Linked DNA regions of Caenorhabditis elegans. The protein of the gene in region 2 purifies or fractionates together with the protein of the main gene of each other region. This does not show direct contact. Each region holds a gene or a part of one and is shown on either strand. Other genes may lie near its edges.

Region 1 (4,291 bases), 2.0 Mb from region 2:
AGCCCCATCTTCTACAACTTCTGGATCTTCTTCTAGAACATCTGGAGCTTCGTTGGCACACAAAACTCACATTGTTGGGAAAGGTGGAATTTCGTTATCAACTGTTGATCCATCCCCGATTCTTTCTCCAGGAATACGGTTATCGGAGCAACTAGGAGCCAAGAATCAGTCTTATAAAAGTGCATTCAGGGTCCAGAAAACTGAAAATGCTCGTGTTATAAGTCACTATCACGCTCCCAACGAAATTCCACTTTCCAGTGATCCATCGGTTGTTGAGAATGAATCTAACTATCCCGTGATGACTAGTGGTGGACTTCTTGTTTAATTTTGACTCAAATCTCATGTCTTGCCGTCTTTTTCTAGGCACTATATACGGGTTTATTCTTTCTTTTTTGTATTCTTTCTGCTTTTTTTAAAATAAATGTTTAAATAATTGAGCTCAATTTTTATTAGAACCAACAACAAGTGATAACAAATTACGATAGAGACCTACTAAAATTCGAAGAAAATTGCTGAAAACCGAACACGCTAGGAAAATTAAAACAATTACTTTGCCTTCTTGGCAAATTTATCATGACGAATCCACCATTCGTCCCAGTCGTTGTTCTTGTCATTTTTGAATGTTGGGAAGTGAACAAGTGGATCTGGATGAATATCTTGCAGACGTACACCAGCTCTCTCAACAGGCTTTCCAGGTTCATCTGTCCAGCTTTTGTACCATTGACGATAATCAAAGTTTCGGAATTCTACTCCAAATGTGATTGTTCCATGTTCTTTTGCTTTCAGAAGTTGTGCACGAAGTAGCGTGTACTGTTCACGACATAGTCCACTCTTCAGGATATCGATTGGTTGGTCGGTGCCATCTGCCAAAAATTGTTCAATGAGACCTGGGTTTCGGTAGTCGAAGTATAGATATTCGTCACGGCACACCTGTAATTCGTGAATTTGTTTGTTATATCTGCAAATGTTAGTTGCTGTTACAAAAACTTACTGGACAAGCATGATTTAGATTGAATCGGCCGTGTTTATCAATGCAGAAAAGTCTTGGAGGTGGTTGAAGTTTCGATTGACCCTGAATTTTCAATCAATTTATTTATTTTTCGAATTCAAATTACCTTGATGTTTCTCTTATACCATCTGTAAATCGGAAGTCCTTTGTAAGCCTCTGCGTATCCTGAAATATATTAAATAATTTAATTTTTAATTGGCATTCATGAAAGCTGTACACAAAGAATTCCTCTTATTTTGTTTTTGAAACTAAATTGAATATTACCTCGACTTTTCATATAGGAAATCTGCTCGGCAATACTGTGTTGTGGTTTGTACATTCCCTTCTTTCGTTCAACATGATTGTAAGCGTATCCGGCCTGAATATATCGATTTTTAAGTAAAATTGTTTATAAATTTAACATAGAAATTAGTTTAGTTCAAATATATTATCAGTTACCTCTTCTGGAGTCGGAACTTCTTTAGTTTTTCCTTCGCAAGCCAATCGGCAGGAAGAATGAATCAGCCTTCGTGCGAATGATCCCCCAGTGGCTAACATACCTGAAATACTGACTTAGACAACTTTTAAACAATTTAATTATATTTAAAAAGTACAAGCTTATAGCTTTAAATTACAATTAAAAACTTAAAAATAAAATAATATACTTTGTGCGTCAAGTTAAATGCGGTGTACGCAAGGAATGTGTGTTCACCGTCACGTCAAGTTGCACATTTTCGAACATCTTATTTTTCTCAAATTTTTATTCTTCTGTCTTGTTTAATCTTTTTTATGAATAGTTATTCACTAATTTAATATTTTTTAAATGTTTAGTTGTAAGAAAACTTTACAGAAATGGATTCGTGTCTAGAAACCATCAGAAACTTGCACGAGGAACGGGAACGATTAATCGATATAACTGTTAAGGAAAAAATTGCAGAAAAGTTAACGCATAAGGCCAAAGTTAATAGCGAACAGCGAGTGAAAACATTTGTCGATGTAAGAAATAACTGTTATGTTATTTCAATTCAATATTATTATTTTTCAGAGGTACTATTCAGTTTCCGCCGAGCTTGCCAAATTTTATAAAGATGAAGACGGTTCGAAGAGCATGGAAATGGATTCAGTTTCTGGTCCAAATGAGTTCGCCGAATTTTATTCAAGACTGAAGGTCATCAAAGATGCGCACAGAAGAAATCCAGACGAGGTTAGTTTTGTTATTTTCCCCGGAAACAATTAAGTTTGGTTGTAATATAATTTCTATACATTTTCAGCTTGCCGAACCACTCACCGTGGAGTTCCAAAAAATCAATGAAGAAATCATCAACCCTGAAAGAGCCGAGCCAGATATGGTTGAATTCAGTGATGAAGAAGCTTACGGTCGTTTTCTAGATCTTCATGCACAATACGACAAATTCATTAACTTGAAGAACATCAAAAGGGTTGATTACATGACGTATTTGTTGAATTTTGAGAAATTCACAGAGATACCGAAAAATACTACCAAGAAGACAGGAGCATATAAAGAATACATCAATTCCTTAAAAGACTATCTTGTTTCTTTCATGCAACGAACTCGCCCACTCCATGATCTCGATTCAGTTTTCTCTGAGGTTAATCAAACTGTAGAAAGAGCATTTAAAGCAGGGAATCTTCCTGGTTGGGAAGCTGATAAAAACAAGAACGGACCTCAAGCAGCTGCTGTGGATTTATCTCCATACAATAGTGCTGAAGAACTCGAGGGATTGGGATTGGAACGTTTGAAAGGAGCTCTCATGGCAATTGGTCTGAAATGTGGAGGGTGAGTTAAAAATATTTGGATTTTTTAATTGTAGTCCTCGTTATTTTTCAGAACTCTGAAAGAACGCGCTGATCGTCTTTTCGCTACCAAAGGGCATAAACTGTCAGATCTCGAAAAAGCAGCAATGTCTTCAAATAATTCCGATGCCGAAAAGCAGAACGCTAAAAATTTGACATTGGCACAAACGGAAGCTCATATTATGGCACTTGCTGATATTCTAGCTGAAGAACGTACTGGAACTCGCGAAAATGTCGAGAGAAAACAAGCTAGATCTGCTGGAGAGGTCGAAGAAGAGGAGGAGGAGGAAATTGTGGTAGGTTTGAATTATTTTCTCTAGTTATTTTTAGAAACATTTAAAAATTCATTTTTTAGATCGAGGAAGAGGAAGAAATTGATGAGAGTGCACCATATAATCCAAAAAATCTACCGCTTGGTTGGGATGGAAAGCCAATTCCGTATTGGTTGTACAAACTTCACGGCCTCAATCTATCATATTCATGTGAAATCTGTGGAAATCAAACTTACAAAGGTCCAAAGGCGTTCCAAAAGCATTTCAACGTAAGTTCATTATATTGGTCTCGTTCAAAAACTTGATATTTGCAGGAGTGGCGACATTCTCATGGAATGAGATGTCTTGGAATTCCGAATACCTCTCATTTCGCCAACATTACGAAGATCAAAGATGCACTGGATTTATGGAATAAATTGAAAACCGAAAAGGAGATGGCTAAATGGAATCCGGACATCGATGAGGAGTACGAGGACTCCAGCGGAAATGTGGTCACCAGGAAGATGTATGAGGATTTGAAAAGACAAGGACTTCTGTAGACGCTATTTTATGTATTCCATTGTTCTTCTAAGTTATTTTTTTTCCTTTTTAATCTTACATTTCTGTAAGTTTTTAACCAATTGGTCTCATTTTTCAAATTTAATGGATAAACTTTTTTGTAATTTTAGTACAATTGAAATAATTTATCGGTATATACAGTTTCAGATAAGTAGTGAGAAAGTTTAATACTCAAATGCAGGATTTGCCTTGAAATCAGCACATCCTAAACAGCTACAATATTGTTCTCCTTTTCCGCAATAGCCACTATTACTGCAACAGTAGGATTCAGAATCCGGATCACATTTTGGAATTTTTCCAGTAGAAAGTCGTGGAGCATTGTAACCACAACGACCTGAAGATATATTCTTATAAGTTGAATTGAGGGCCTGTTCCCTCACCAACGTTGGCTGGATTCTCAGAAAATGTCCACCATTCTAATGGTTTATATTTGAAATCTCTCTGTTTTGCAAAATCAATACATCCATTACATTCACAATGTTCCTTTGAATTTCCACAGTAACCTCCATTACTACAACAATGAGCATTAGCATCATCTGGATTACAAGTTGGCGCTTCTCCTTCTAAAGGTGGAACATCTCGACCACATCGTCCACGTTTCCCTTCTCCAGCATCCGATGTGTACCATGTGATCTTTTGGCTTGGTTTCACTGGTTCT
Region 2 (3,366 bases):
TATGATTGGACTTGGAATTAGCTTCTCCAGAATCACTGATAATAAGCATCATTGGAGCGATGTTCTTGTCGGAATTTTCATTGGAATATTCTTGGCTGTTTACACTGTAATATTATTATGAGTGTTTGGGAACTTTCGCATTTTTTCTGCTTTCAGTGTACCTTCTGGACAGATTTGTTCTCAAACAATTCAACTGAATCTGAAACACAACCTCTTCTGCTTCCTCGACCACCCCGTACTCCCAGAAACTCTGAAGGTTGGTCCATCGTAAATTTTAACTCAATTACATATTTTTTTCCAGATGAGGAGCGACATCGATTGGATGCAGTTTTACCTTCTACGGATAGTTCTATTGTTTTTGAAGCTACTGGACCGCAGGACTCGGATACAATTTTGTTGCCGGTTCCGCAAAGTGCATAATGCAATTTTCTTGTTTTTATTCGAATTTTTTGTTTTAAATATAAATAATTTTTGCCCTTATGTTGTTGCTCTTAATGCTTGAATTGAAGAAATTTATAGAGATCAGAACGTAACAACAAAATAAAGTACAGTTGTTCTCACGGGCTGCGAAACTTGGGAAATTTGTGTTGACTCGGAAAGCCGTAATAAATTATTTCAAAAGATTTAAACAAAAGTCAGCAACTTTAACGGGAACAAAATGTGAATTAAACTTGAGGAACGTGATACAAAAGTATAGGACGTTCGATACTCAAATTTGCTATGACCCGATGATAGCTTAACGACGTGGACCGCCTCCGCGTGGTCCTCCGCGTCCGCGACCACGACCTCCTCTTCCTCCGCGCATTCCACCACGACCACGTCCACGTGAAGCTGAAATAAAAATATTAATAATCTGTCGAAAAGACGCTTAAAGCTACCTCCGGCGCGAGCGGCACGGGCCTTCTTTCTTGGTTCATCGTCGATTAAAAGGGTGTCAAGAGCGAGTGGATCCGGCAAAATGATGTATCTGATGTTGTTACCTGAAAATCTTAAATTATATTTATTCAAATATGATTTTTAATAACCTCTGATTGAAAGCGTGTCGAGTTTGACTGGCTCCTTGTTCTTAACTGTCATTGAGACGGCACGAAGATGTGTGTTCATCGCAACATCGACTCCCATGATAGTGCCTAAATAAAATCGATTTAGTTGTTTAGTTACGTTTTTGCAGTAATTAAAATTATACAATATTATTCGGATTTATGACTTTGAAAATGTATCCTAATATAAAAACACTATAACAAATGTCGAGCAATTCGTGAAAGATTGATTTTGGTTGGTTAATAACTCAACTTCTCGATTAAAACACTTTCAAGCAGACAATTAATCTTAAAAAATACTCACCGGACACCTGAGTACCGTTCTTCAATTCAATATTGACGGTCTCGTGAGACAACTTCATCAGGAATCTGACCAACTTCATTTTTCTACCTGAAATACATACAATTATAGAAGAATAAAAGGAAACGATGGAATTCAATAGAAAATACGACGATAAAAATAACTTTTAACTGATAAGAAAGAGGTTATGACAAATAAAAACATCTGCATCAAGGAAAAATGTTTCAAAACAGATTTCCAGTGACTGGAATCCAGTCATTTTGAGCACATTCGAAAATGCAAAAGACTTGGCGGCATGCCAAGTGGTCTCGCAACGACTAGGAGTACGGTCGCACTCGTTTTCATGTGTGCGCTTTTGATAGAATTTCTTTTTCTTGACTTAGGACTTTCTCTTCTTAAAATTGAGATTGATTTCTCGAATTCATGTGTTTTTTTTACTGGGCTTAATGAACGGCGTTTAATAAATTAATTTTTGAATATAAAGTGATTTTCCAGAAATGCCGCGCCTCTATCTAGGAAAAATTCCATACAATGCACGCGAACGCGACGTTGAGCGATTCTTAAAAGGATATGGCAAAATTAATAACATCTCAATGAAGTATGGATTTGCCTTTGTCGATTTTGAAGATTCTCGTGATGCTGAAGACGCATGCCATGATTTGGATGGAAAAACCATGGAAGGAAGGTAATAAAATAATAAACCAAAATTAAAAATGTTCTAACTTTTTATTTTCAGCTCTATGCGCCTTGTCGTGGAAATGGCTCGCGGAAAACCACGCGGCAATGACCGTCATGGATCGAGATCACCACGACGACGTTCCCGCTCTCCTAGACGTCGTTCACGTACTCCACCAAGAAGACGTTCCCGCTCTCGTGATCGCAAACGTTCTCGCAGATCCCGTTCCAGAAGCTCCTCCAGATCCAGATCACCAGTTCGTGAAAGTCGTCGCAGAAGCGAATCCCGTTCGCCGAGCCCGAAAAGAGACTTGTAAGTTAACTTTAATGTGTGGATTGTTTTGGAAGGGTGCCACATCACGAACCGTTTTAGCCACAGTTCAATGAGAAATCAATATCACCTACAAGCCCACATCGCAATGGCATACACATAGCTGAGACAGTTCGAGCACAGTATGGGTCAACTATCAATACATTTCAATTCACTTCTCGTTCAGTCCCCACAGTTACCAAAAGCCGCTGTTTCGATTAAAAGAGTGAGATCCCTAACTTTGAATCAGACAACTTCGCGCAAACATATCGGTTTCGTATTCGAGTCCTTTAGATTCCGACTCTATTAAATGCAAGAATTATATTTTAGGAAGCGTGAAGCGTCGAGATCTCGTTCACCACTGCCAGCAAAAGATCGAAGCAGAACCCGAAGTGGATCTCCCCCAAAGGTAATTCATTTATGTGCTTGTATAGTAAAAATCATATGGTTTCAGAACGGCGGAGATAGAAAGCGCAGCGTGAGCCGTGGAAGAAGTCACAGCCGAGATGGCAGCAATCGCAGTGTGTCTCGCTCTCCGTCTCCAGGATCTCCAAAGGATTAAAATTGTGTTTTTATACCGTTTACTGTTGTTCATTTACCACTTCTATTTTATAATATTTGTTCATCCTCAGAGCTGTTCTGATTTTAATAATTCCCGAATAAAACCGAGCGGAGACTTCCTTCATTTTTTAAAAATATTTAAAGGCACATGGTATTATTCACACAGGTCTCACCACGATTACTTCAACTACTGTACAATATTGGGGAATTTGAAGGTCGAACGCAATTTTGGGCTAATTTACTGCTTTGTTATTTTTACTGTTCTGGAAATTGCCGTTGTACTTTTTATAGTCATTATTATTAGAAAAAACCTTTTACGAGATTTTCGAGCTAATTTTTATACTCATATATTGAAATAGAACGCAAATTTTCGAGTTTTCTAAACAAAAAGCTTATCGTTTTCTATTCTCTAAATTGAAAAGAGTTGCAAACTAGGACAAAAACCGAAAAAAAGGCGAATTTTGAAAGCCTGCGAGTGA
Region 3 (3,813 bases), on a different chromosome or scaffold from region 2:
TTAAAAACTAACCTCGAAAAAGTAAATTGTAGATGCCCTTCGACAGGAGTGATAAAGTACAATCCATGAAAGAATTAAAATGCTCGCCGATGCGGCAATCTTTGCCACGTCGTCTCGCATTTTTGGTGGCGAATCCTGAGCTTTTTTTGAATCAGTACACATACTTTTTCTTTCTGGGAATAGCACGTGCTAACTGTGAGACGATACGAAAACAAAAATGGCAAGAGACGAAGAGAAATCAAGTAGAACCGTACTATATAAAGACCTGTTTATCCTTTGCCATACGAAACAAAAAAGAAACGTGCGTTGCTGCCGGTGGGACGACACATAAAGAGAAATAAAGAATGTGTGGGAAAATCAATCTTCTACTGCTGGCCGGTGACCAACATTTTTAAAGAGCACCACAAACACGTGCTGCTCTCTAGTTCTCCAAGCAGTTGTTTACACATTCGAAAACGCTCTCACAGAGCAAAAAGTCGCACAAAATAAGGTCTCCCTGGATTTCCCCGTTCACAAATTACCGAAATATTACTTTTATTTTCCGACAACAGTTTATAAAATGGATGAAAGTTCACGATTTTAGGTTACAAAAAGAGGAACAAAATAAAAAAAGACAGAACAGTGAAAGGTAATAATGGTAAAATTCGGTTAAACAACAAAGAAATTAAATTTAGTGAAAACTTTTTTAAATCATTGATTCGAGATTCTTCGGAGGAATTAGGGTTGCAAATTGATGTTGTGGAGAAGATACTGTATGGTCTTGGATCTTCCACAATTTAGTGCGGAGAAGCAGAACGGCTGCGAGAACGGCTTCGAGAGCGGGAGCGACTCTTCGAGTGAGAACGATCACGTTCTTGAGGAGATCGAGATCTGAAATTTCTCATTTAAATTTAAATAACTATATCCAAAACTCTTACCTTGAACGAGTACGTTCTCTTTCGCGACTGCGTTCACGACTGCGATCTCTGCTTCGGTCACGACTGCGATCACGGCTTCTGTCGCGGCTGCGATCACGTCCACGATCACGAGAGCGTGAACGGGAACGTCCACGGTCTCCTCGGTATGGCGATCTGAAATAAACAATGTTAAAACATTCCGAATATTGCATATTTGTCGAATACATCTTTCCTGCAGATGGCAGCATAAAGAAAGGTAGATGTAACTTTCTTACTGAATGGGAAGATTCAGCCGACGAAGGCATGATGAGACGATTTTGTCAGAAGCTCGATTCAGGAACTACTGCGGAGAATTAACTGATGAAAAGAGTCAAAAACAATTCTGGTGCGATGATTTTGGGAGAAGTAAAGGGCGCGTAGCGATGTGGAAGAGAAGAATGTGTCGTGAAGACAGAAGACGGAGAGGAGTGGAAGATAGTGATGTTTGGGATGGCAGATGGGGACGCGGACGAGCGGAGTCCGCTAAAATTAAAAATTTGGTCCACGGTTTTACCGAATAAAATTTTTAATACAGCTCTCTTTTCCTTTAACTATCAAATTATTTTCAACTAACCTGTCTCTTCCGCCACCACCTCGGCCGCCGAAACCTCCACCACGACCGCCACCGCCACGTCTTTGTCCAGTTGAAAGTTCAACACGAGCACGGACACCACAGATTCTTCTATAATTTTGAAGCATTAAACGAATATCCAAAGCAAACAACTTACGATCCGTCAAGAGCGCGGACAGCATCTTCAGCGTCACGAACGTCGTCGTATTCCACGAACGCAAATCCAGGAGGGCGACGAGCTACCCAAACCTTACGGATCCTTCCAAATCGATCAAAAATCTCTTCGAGCTGAAAAATGTATATTTACATAATTACTGTTAATGGCTCAAGATTGAACTCACTTCTTGTGATGTTGCATCACTCGGCAGACCGCCGACGTACACCTTGGCGTCCATACTGAAAAATCAAATTAATTTATGAAGTTGCAAAAGAACGAAGTTTGAATATTCAAAAAATAATTATTGAGAAACAAAAATAAGTGTGAAACGGAGATAGCTCGAGAGCAACGCGCGCGAAATGATTTCAATAAACGCGACGCAGCTGCTCGCGATGCGTGTAGTACGGTAACACTTGTTTCAGCTGTGCAGATTTCCTAATGTCGGGGTGAGATAACGGCGCGAATTCGAACGAAAATTTCAGTTGCAATTAATCTTTTTGATAAATGCATTTTATAAATAAGCCGAATTTGTTGCACTGTATAACGGATACATGTATTAATACAGAAATTGTGCAATAAAAAGTAAACTCGAATGCATCACATTTACACTTAATTTTTTAAAGCATGCCTTGTTGCATGTTTCCACTAAAATATGTTTTATAAAAAAACCGAAATGATAACTATCTTCTGAAAATATACATACAAATGTGAAAGTAGAATTGTGCTGAATTTATTTCTAAGTAGAAATAGCAAAACCAGTCAAAGTTTCAATTGATTTTTATATATCAATTGCAAATTTATGAACCAGATTATCAAATTAAAATTATTTGCTCAAACACAAAAAACATAGACAAGCCATTAAACCAGCTAAGCAACACATTTCGCCTCCTCCTCCCCCGTGCTCCCGTTCACGATGATGATGATGGTGATGGCAGTCGTCAACTCTGAAAGAAATAAGTCAATATTATTAATTTTTCGCGAAATATCGAATAGAACTCACATGACAGTTTGAGGCTGTTGATAATATACTGCATATGCTGGTTGAACGCCTTGTCCGATGGGAACACCGGGTTGTACTGTGTAGACACCTTGTGGAGGTTGTGGATATGCGTTATAAGCCTTGAATCATTTTCGGTTTAGTTTTTTTCAAAGATCGAACTCACTTGATTGTAAGGTGGCGGTGGTGGTGGTGCGCCGCTCATTGTCAAATACTGAAAATATAGTGATAAGAGAATGACGATTCAAAGACGACGAGTTTATAAAATACTCCTTTTCCTTATTTGCCTTTCGCTGATTCATCTAGAAGTGAAGTGACGAAACTTAGTTATCATTTTAATCGGGTTGAATATAAAGTAAAAGACCAGTCACACCTTTTTATTGCATTTGACATGAAAATAATGATAAATTATAATTGTTATAAGTTAAATCATGCTCTACACATTTAGAAAATCCGGTTTAGAATCGGTTCGCAGAAAATTATATTTTTTGTACGTAGATTCAGATTGAAGTTGGCGATATAAAGCAACTGCCAGTACAATGATAAGAATGACAAAAAATGAGAAGAAATTTGATATTTGTTGGGTAGATTGCGCAACTTCAAGTTGTTCTAGTAGGTTGAATTTGAGATCCTTTGAGTGATAAAGCATTGCTCCTAGAGCCCATTGCATTTCTTCACCGGCTATTTTCAGAACACTCTGAAAATATTTATCTTGAATGTAAGATGTGTCTTTAAAAATTCATACCTGAAACAAATGCTTGGTTTTATCCACATTAAAACCGTCATGAAGTACACTGGTCACCCAAGCAGCTTTGAAACAGTTTGTTCCAAGTCGTTCAATGTCAGCGTTGGGAAATTCATTTCTTTTGAATCCATCTTGAATATCATTCCAATCTTTTTGGCAGTATTTTCGAACTTCGTCCGTAAATTTTTGATAATGATATTCGCCACCAGATCCGAAATTGCTTGTCGTATACCAGTATTCTGAGAAGCCATACAATTGAACAGTTGATAGGTTAACTGATGGAGCAATCACGTTACGTAGGAAACATGTTGGGTTTGGACAAGAAGGTTGAGCTTTATCACCGATTAAAGATGATACTTGTGCAAGACAAACGTCCCATTCTCCGGTACCCTGTAAATTTGAATAAAT
Region 4 (4,300 bases), 1.8 Mb from region 2:
CCCAAAATTTGTCGGTACATTACATGGATAAAGAAAAGATGGTATCATTTTAAGTTATCGTACCATTAAGCCTAGTTATTTTATTAAGGCAGATAACCAGCTCAATCCAGATATTTTTATTTGGGCAGGAGGTGTAACTGCCAACTCAGAAGTCTGGGCTATGAATAAAATGCTCCAAATCACTGAAAATAGTGGAATTAAAGTCAACGACGCTTGCGAAACCTCACTTCCTAATGTTTTTGCATGTGGAGATGTTTGTGCACTGACTACCACAGAACCATCAACTCTTTGGCAACAAGTTTTATAACCATAGATTGAGTGTTAAATAAAGTTGAAATATTTTAAGAGACAATTGTGGACACAAGCACGTCAGCAAGGAGAAGTGTGTGGAAGAGCGATGGTGGCAGGCGTCGAAGAGGCTCGTATGCAGAATATGTATTTCGAACTGTTCTCGCATTGTACGACTTTTTTCGGGTTAAAGGTGAGATAAATAACAATTTGCATGGTAATTGTCGAATTTTATTTCCAAACACTCATGAAAAAAGAAAAATAAATAATACAGTCAAATTTTTTTGCGTGTAGTTGGAAACTGTTAACGATAACGAAAATTGGTAAATGAGACCACAAGAAACAGAGGTCGATAATTTAGGGGAAACAATAGGCATTTTACTCCATCAGCACAATGCCGGGTAAAACGAAGGTGGAACTCATATTTAGTTGAATGCATAGGAGGGTACATGGAATCAATTGGTTCGGCCTTCGACTGAAAATAAGAATTTTTGAATGGGCGTTGGTATATATAAACTCACTGTAGGTAGAGACATCGATCTTTTCTGGGAGCTCAGTGATGCTGATATCGAAGCGGTCTTGAACGCTGTTCAAGGTCTTGGCGTCATTCTCATCAGAAACGAAAGTGATGGCCAAACCCTTGGTTCCAAAACGACCAGCACGTGCAACTCTGTGAAGATACGAGTCGGAATCTTCTGGCATGTCGTAGTTGAACACGATGTTGACTCTTTCGATATCCATTCCACGTCCAAACAAATCGGTGGCCACCAAGATTCTCTTTTGGAAGTCTTTGAATGCTTGGTATCTTGAAAGTCGCTCTTCTTGAGCCATTTGACGATGAATGGCAATTGATGGGAAATTTTGTTCTGTGAGGAGCTGGTGGAGAGCTTCGCAACGTTTTACGGCCTTGACGAAAATGACGACTTGGTTGAACTCGAGTGCATCGAGAAGATTCAGCAAACGACGGTTCTTCTCGGCTTCCTTCAGTTTGACGTAATGTTGCTGAAGTCCGTGCAGAGTGAGCTTGGCTTCGTCGTCGACGTAGACTTCCATTGGCTGAAAAAATGTTTTAAGGTCTAGAACGGCAGCACGGTGATGAATCGGGGGCTGGAACGTGTTTTGCAGTACATGTCACGTGTTCCCGACAAGTCTTTCGACCTATTAGCAATCAGCTTCGCTGAGGCGAGCCAGCTACCTCCCCCGAGGACGATGGCTTCTGCGTGGCGAGAGGCTTAACAAGATGAGATCTGAAATCCGAGAAATCAAAAAGCGACTTCGGAATTAACGACCAACCAAGTTCTGGCCATCTCTTTCGCATCACGGAACACACATGACTAGCATTTTGGTTTGATACATGTTTTTTGTTTCAAAAAAGTGAACAGCGGTTCCGTAGGTTCCGGATCAGAGATAAAGCGTACGTCTTGCATGAATCGCTTGCAAACAGTGCGAAGCTCCTTTGGCAATGTGGCGGAGAACATCATCACTTGCTTCTGTTGTGGAGTCATCTTGACGATTTCTTGAACATCCCGACGCATATCTGAAAAAGTTCAATAATGATTCCTATATTTACAAGTATTTCTTACCAGCATCTCCGATCATCTTGTCGCACTCGTCCAGGACGAAGTACTTGACTTTGTCAAGCTTCAGCTTGCCAGAACGAGCCAGAGCCAACATTCTTCCTGGAGTTCCAACAACAATGTGTGGACAGTCATTGGCAAGGCGTTCCTCATCTTTCTTGATGGCCATTCCACCGAAAAAGACAGCTACCTTGACTCCTGGGAGATATTTGCTAAATCTCTCATACTCCTTGGAAATTTGGAATGCCAACTCGCGAGTGTGGCACATGCAAACAACAGATACCTGAAAACAATGATTTATTGAAATTTGATGTATTACTGTTTACCTCGCCATCCACTGGCTCCAGTTGTTGAAGAGTGGTGATTACAAAAACAGCGGTTTTACCCATACCGGACTTCGCTTGGCAGACAACGTCCATTCCAAGAATGGCTTGAGGAATGCACTCATGTTGTACTTCCGATGGATGTTCGAAACCGCAGTCTCCGATGGCACGAAGAATTTCTGGCTTCAAGAGGAAGTCACGAAATCCGGAAGAATGAATAGAAGCATACGTTCCTTTAGTTTTTCTGGCATCGCCTCCGCCAACTTCTGGCTGCTTGTCTTGGATCTCCTCCTGCTCCTCTTCGTAGTCAAGAAGTTGTTCCTCTTCCATTCTGAAACAAAAAAAAATAAAGGTCTTCATAAAAAGGGGCTTGAGATTAATCCTAATTTCACGAAGAAAATAGAGAATAGTGTTTAACCTATTAGAGAAAGTCACAAATAGAACAATCAAAAGAAATTTAGTAAATAACCTCACAAAAACAGATCAAAACAGGAAAATGCAGAGCGGTTGCTCCTCATGAAGAATAAACCGCGAAACGATACCCATTCGAATATTTTCGACGCGCGACGCACACGCAACGCGTCGCTTCGTATGGTCTCGCAGCGAAGTAATTAGCAATGGGCGGGTGTTCAAATACGAGAGGGGGAATGTGGCTGTAAACAGCTGTCCAGTGCACAAGACAATATTAGTAGCGAAACGATCCGAAAGATAGATGTGTGCAAAGAATCATAGAAAAACAAATGTTCTTTCAGGTGGTGTTTCTTGGAGACTACAAACCAGAGAGACAGGTGGAAGGAGAATGGAAGATTGTATTGAGGTACTGTACACTTTTTAGATTACAATGAAACATGCTCTAATATTCAGAGACGCCGATAACGATCAACTCGTTCGATGTGTAGTCGTCAAAAATAAGATTGTCGGTGCCCTTCTAATTGGCGAAACTGACATGGAGGAGACACTCGAAAATCTGATTCTCAACAAAACAGATCTAGAAGGCATTTCAGAAACATTCTTGGAGCCGGGAGTTGATCTCGATGATTATTTTGATTAGATTATTATTATACTGTATGATGTTTATACATTTTGTTGTGTTTGAATAATATTAAACCAGTTTTCTACTATCTTTTTCACATCTATACATTTTCTGCGTCTCCATCTCTTTACCACGTGGAATACACCAGTGCTAGTCGTATTCTCCTTGCTCTCTTACACTCTTTTTCTCTATCAAATGCGTTGGGACATTGTCACATTTTCATTAGGGTTCAATATAGAGCCAAGTAGTATTGATTCAGGTTCAATTTTCATACGATATAAACTACAGACACACTCGTATTATAGATATACGACATTTCCAAAATATCGCCTTTCCGAATTGCGAAGAAATACTTGTAGTAAATGATGCATCAGAAGATATAGGATCTTGTGGAAGTGCATTGAATGCATTAATAAGAACTGCTGAAAGGCTATGCTACAGGAATAATTTGACAGTACTCACAGAATCCGTCTTGCAAGACGTGAACGTGTTAATTGTTTTGGTGGTGAGTACTTTTTATTATTTCGATAAAATAGTAGAATAAAAATTATAATTAATTTCTTGGACATTGAGAAATAGCTGTAATTATAATTGTACAATGAAATAGGCATAAATACATTTTTTGTCTCAAGTTTCAATATTTACGGTGGCGTGTAGTAAAACATCTTAAAACGTGTTGAAATTTTCCATTTTTAGTCAAAAAGTGATGATAATAGAGTTTTCGCCATTCACAATTTTGGATGCCGACCAAAAAATAATAATTTCTACGAGCTTAATATTTATTGCGTTTCAACTGTATGTTTTAAACATGTTTTAGAACACTTCTGGGTTAAAACCTGCATCAATGCTCAAGATTATTCAAAAAGCCAATACATTTGAAAATTTGGGAATTTGTCAAAACGTTGTCTGAAAAAACTTTTTTAGAATGTTTTATTATGCTTTTTCGTTACTTTAGGTTTATTTAAACTGGGATTATATGAACACTCAACTATCTATAGATATGTCGCAGGGGTTACTGTTGTTGGCAGTTTTCAGAGCGATCCCCGAACACTTCAAAACGCAAAAGACAATTCAACAAT

What was found.
Region 1: the proteins of snr-3 (region 2) and prp-9 fractionate together in Caenorhabditis elegans (co-fractionation; one large-scale study listed by BioGRID). This does not show direct contact.
Region 3: the proteins of snr-3 (region 2) and rsp-6 fractionate together in Caenorhabditis elegans (co-fractionation; one large-scale study listed by BioGRID). This does not show direct contact.
Region 4: the proteins of snr-3 (region 2) and hel-1 fractionate together in Caenorhabditis elegans (co-fractionation; one large-scale study listed by BioGRID). This does not show direct contact.

The regions. Positions count from the first base shown.
Region 1 is NC_003280.10:8,522,944-8,527,234, reverse strand, and holds prp-9 (Matrin-type domain-containing protein), read left to right. Parts: upstream 1-1,838; 5' UTR 1,839-1,840; coding exon 1,841-1,984; intron 1,985-2,033; coding exon 2,034-2,192; intron 2,193-2,259; coding exon 2,260-2,786; intron 2,787-2,837; coding exon 2,838-3,099; intron 3,100-3,158; coding exon 3,159-3,344; intron 3,345-3,389; coding exon 3,390-3,614; 3' UTR 3,615-3,741; downstream 3,742-4,291. Other genes in the region: gldi-7 (Sodium/potassium-transporting ATPase subunit beta-1-interacting protein), read left to right, coding at 1-325; mrps-18B (28S ribosomal protein S18-2, mitochondrial), read right to left, coding at 547-930, 992-1,072, 1,116-1,174, 1,274-1,367, 1,448-1,546; cht-2 (GH18 domain-containing protein), read right to left, coding at 3,798-3,967, 4,014-4,291.
Region 2 is NC_003280.10:6,488,331-6,491,696, forward strand, and holds snr-3 (putative small nuclear ribonucleoprotein Sm D1), read right to left. Parts: upstream 1,432-3,366; 5' UTR 1,424-1,431; coding exon 1,345-1,423; intron 1,131-1,344; coding exon 1,026-1,130; intron 981-1,025; coding exon 879-980; intron 832-878; coding exon 737-831; 3' UTR 501-736; downstream 1-500. Other genes in the region: plpp-1.2 (Phosphatidic acid phosphatase type 2/haloperoxidase domain-containing protein), read left to right, coding at 1-106, 157-256, 302-420; rsp-5 (putative splicing factor, arginine/serine-rich 5), read left to right, coding at 1,839-2,026, 2,078-2,329, 2,657-2,735, 2,781-2,888. UniProt on the Caenorhabditis elegans protein: Plays a role in pre-mRNA splicing as a core component of the spliceosomal U1, U2, U4 and U5 small nuclear ribonucleoproteins (snRNPs), the building blocks of the spliceosome.
Region 3 is NC_003282.8:7,789,328-7,793,140, forward strand, and holds rsp-6 (putative splicing factor, arginine/serine-rich 6), read right to left. Parts: upstream 1,903-3,813; 5' UTR 1,902-1,902; coding exon 1,848-1,901; intron 1,795-1,847; coding exon 1,664-1,794; intron 1,618-1,663; coding exon 1,510-1,617; exon of another isoform or gene 1,071-1,509; coding exon 918-1,070; intron 871-917; coding exon 777-870; 3' UTR 520-776; downstream 1-519. Other genes in the region: imp-3 (IntraMembrane Protease (IMPAS) family), read right to left, coding at 13-162; C33H5.13 (CYSTM domain-containing protein), read right to left, coding at 2,487-2,607, 2,664-2,782, 2,827-2,865; Nucleoside-triphosphatase ntp-1, read right to left, coding at 3,097-3,357, 3,406-3,795. UniProt on the Caenorhabditis elegans protein: Plays a functionally redundant role in shifting germ cell sexual differentiation in hermaprodites. Required for the development of somatic gonad structures and for progression from larval stage to adulthood.
Region 4 is NC_003280.10:8,326,352-8,330,651, forward strand, and holds hel-1 (Spliceosome RNA helicase DDX39B homolog), read right to left. Parts: upstream 2,520-4,300; 5' UTR 2,519-2,519; coding exon 2,192-2,518; intron 2,149-2,191; coding exon 1,872-2,148; intron 1,826-1,871; coding exon 1,707-1,825; exon of another isoform or gene 1,582-1,706; intron 1,536-1,581; exon of another isoform or gene 1,345-1,535; coding exon 810-1,344; intron 764-809; coding exon 744-763; 3' UTR 501-743; downstream 1-500. Other genes in the region: C26D10.3 (Pyridine nucleotide-disulfide oxidoreductase domain-containing protein 1), read left to right, coding at 1-41, 89-298, 347-481, 2,941-3,005, 3,053-3,239; C26D10.4 (GHMP kinase N-terminal domain-containing protein), read left to right, coding at 3,417-3,480, 3,527-3,726, 4,257-4,300.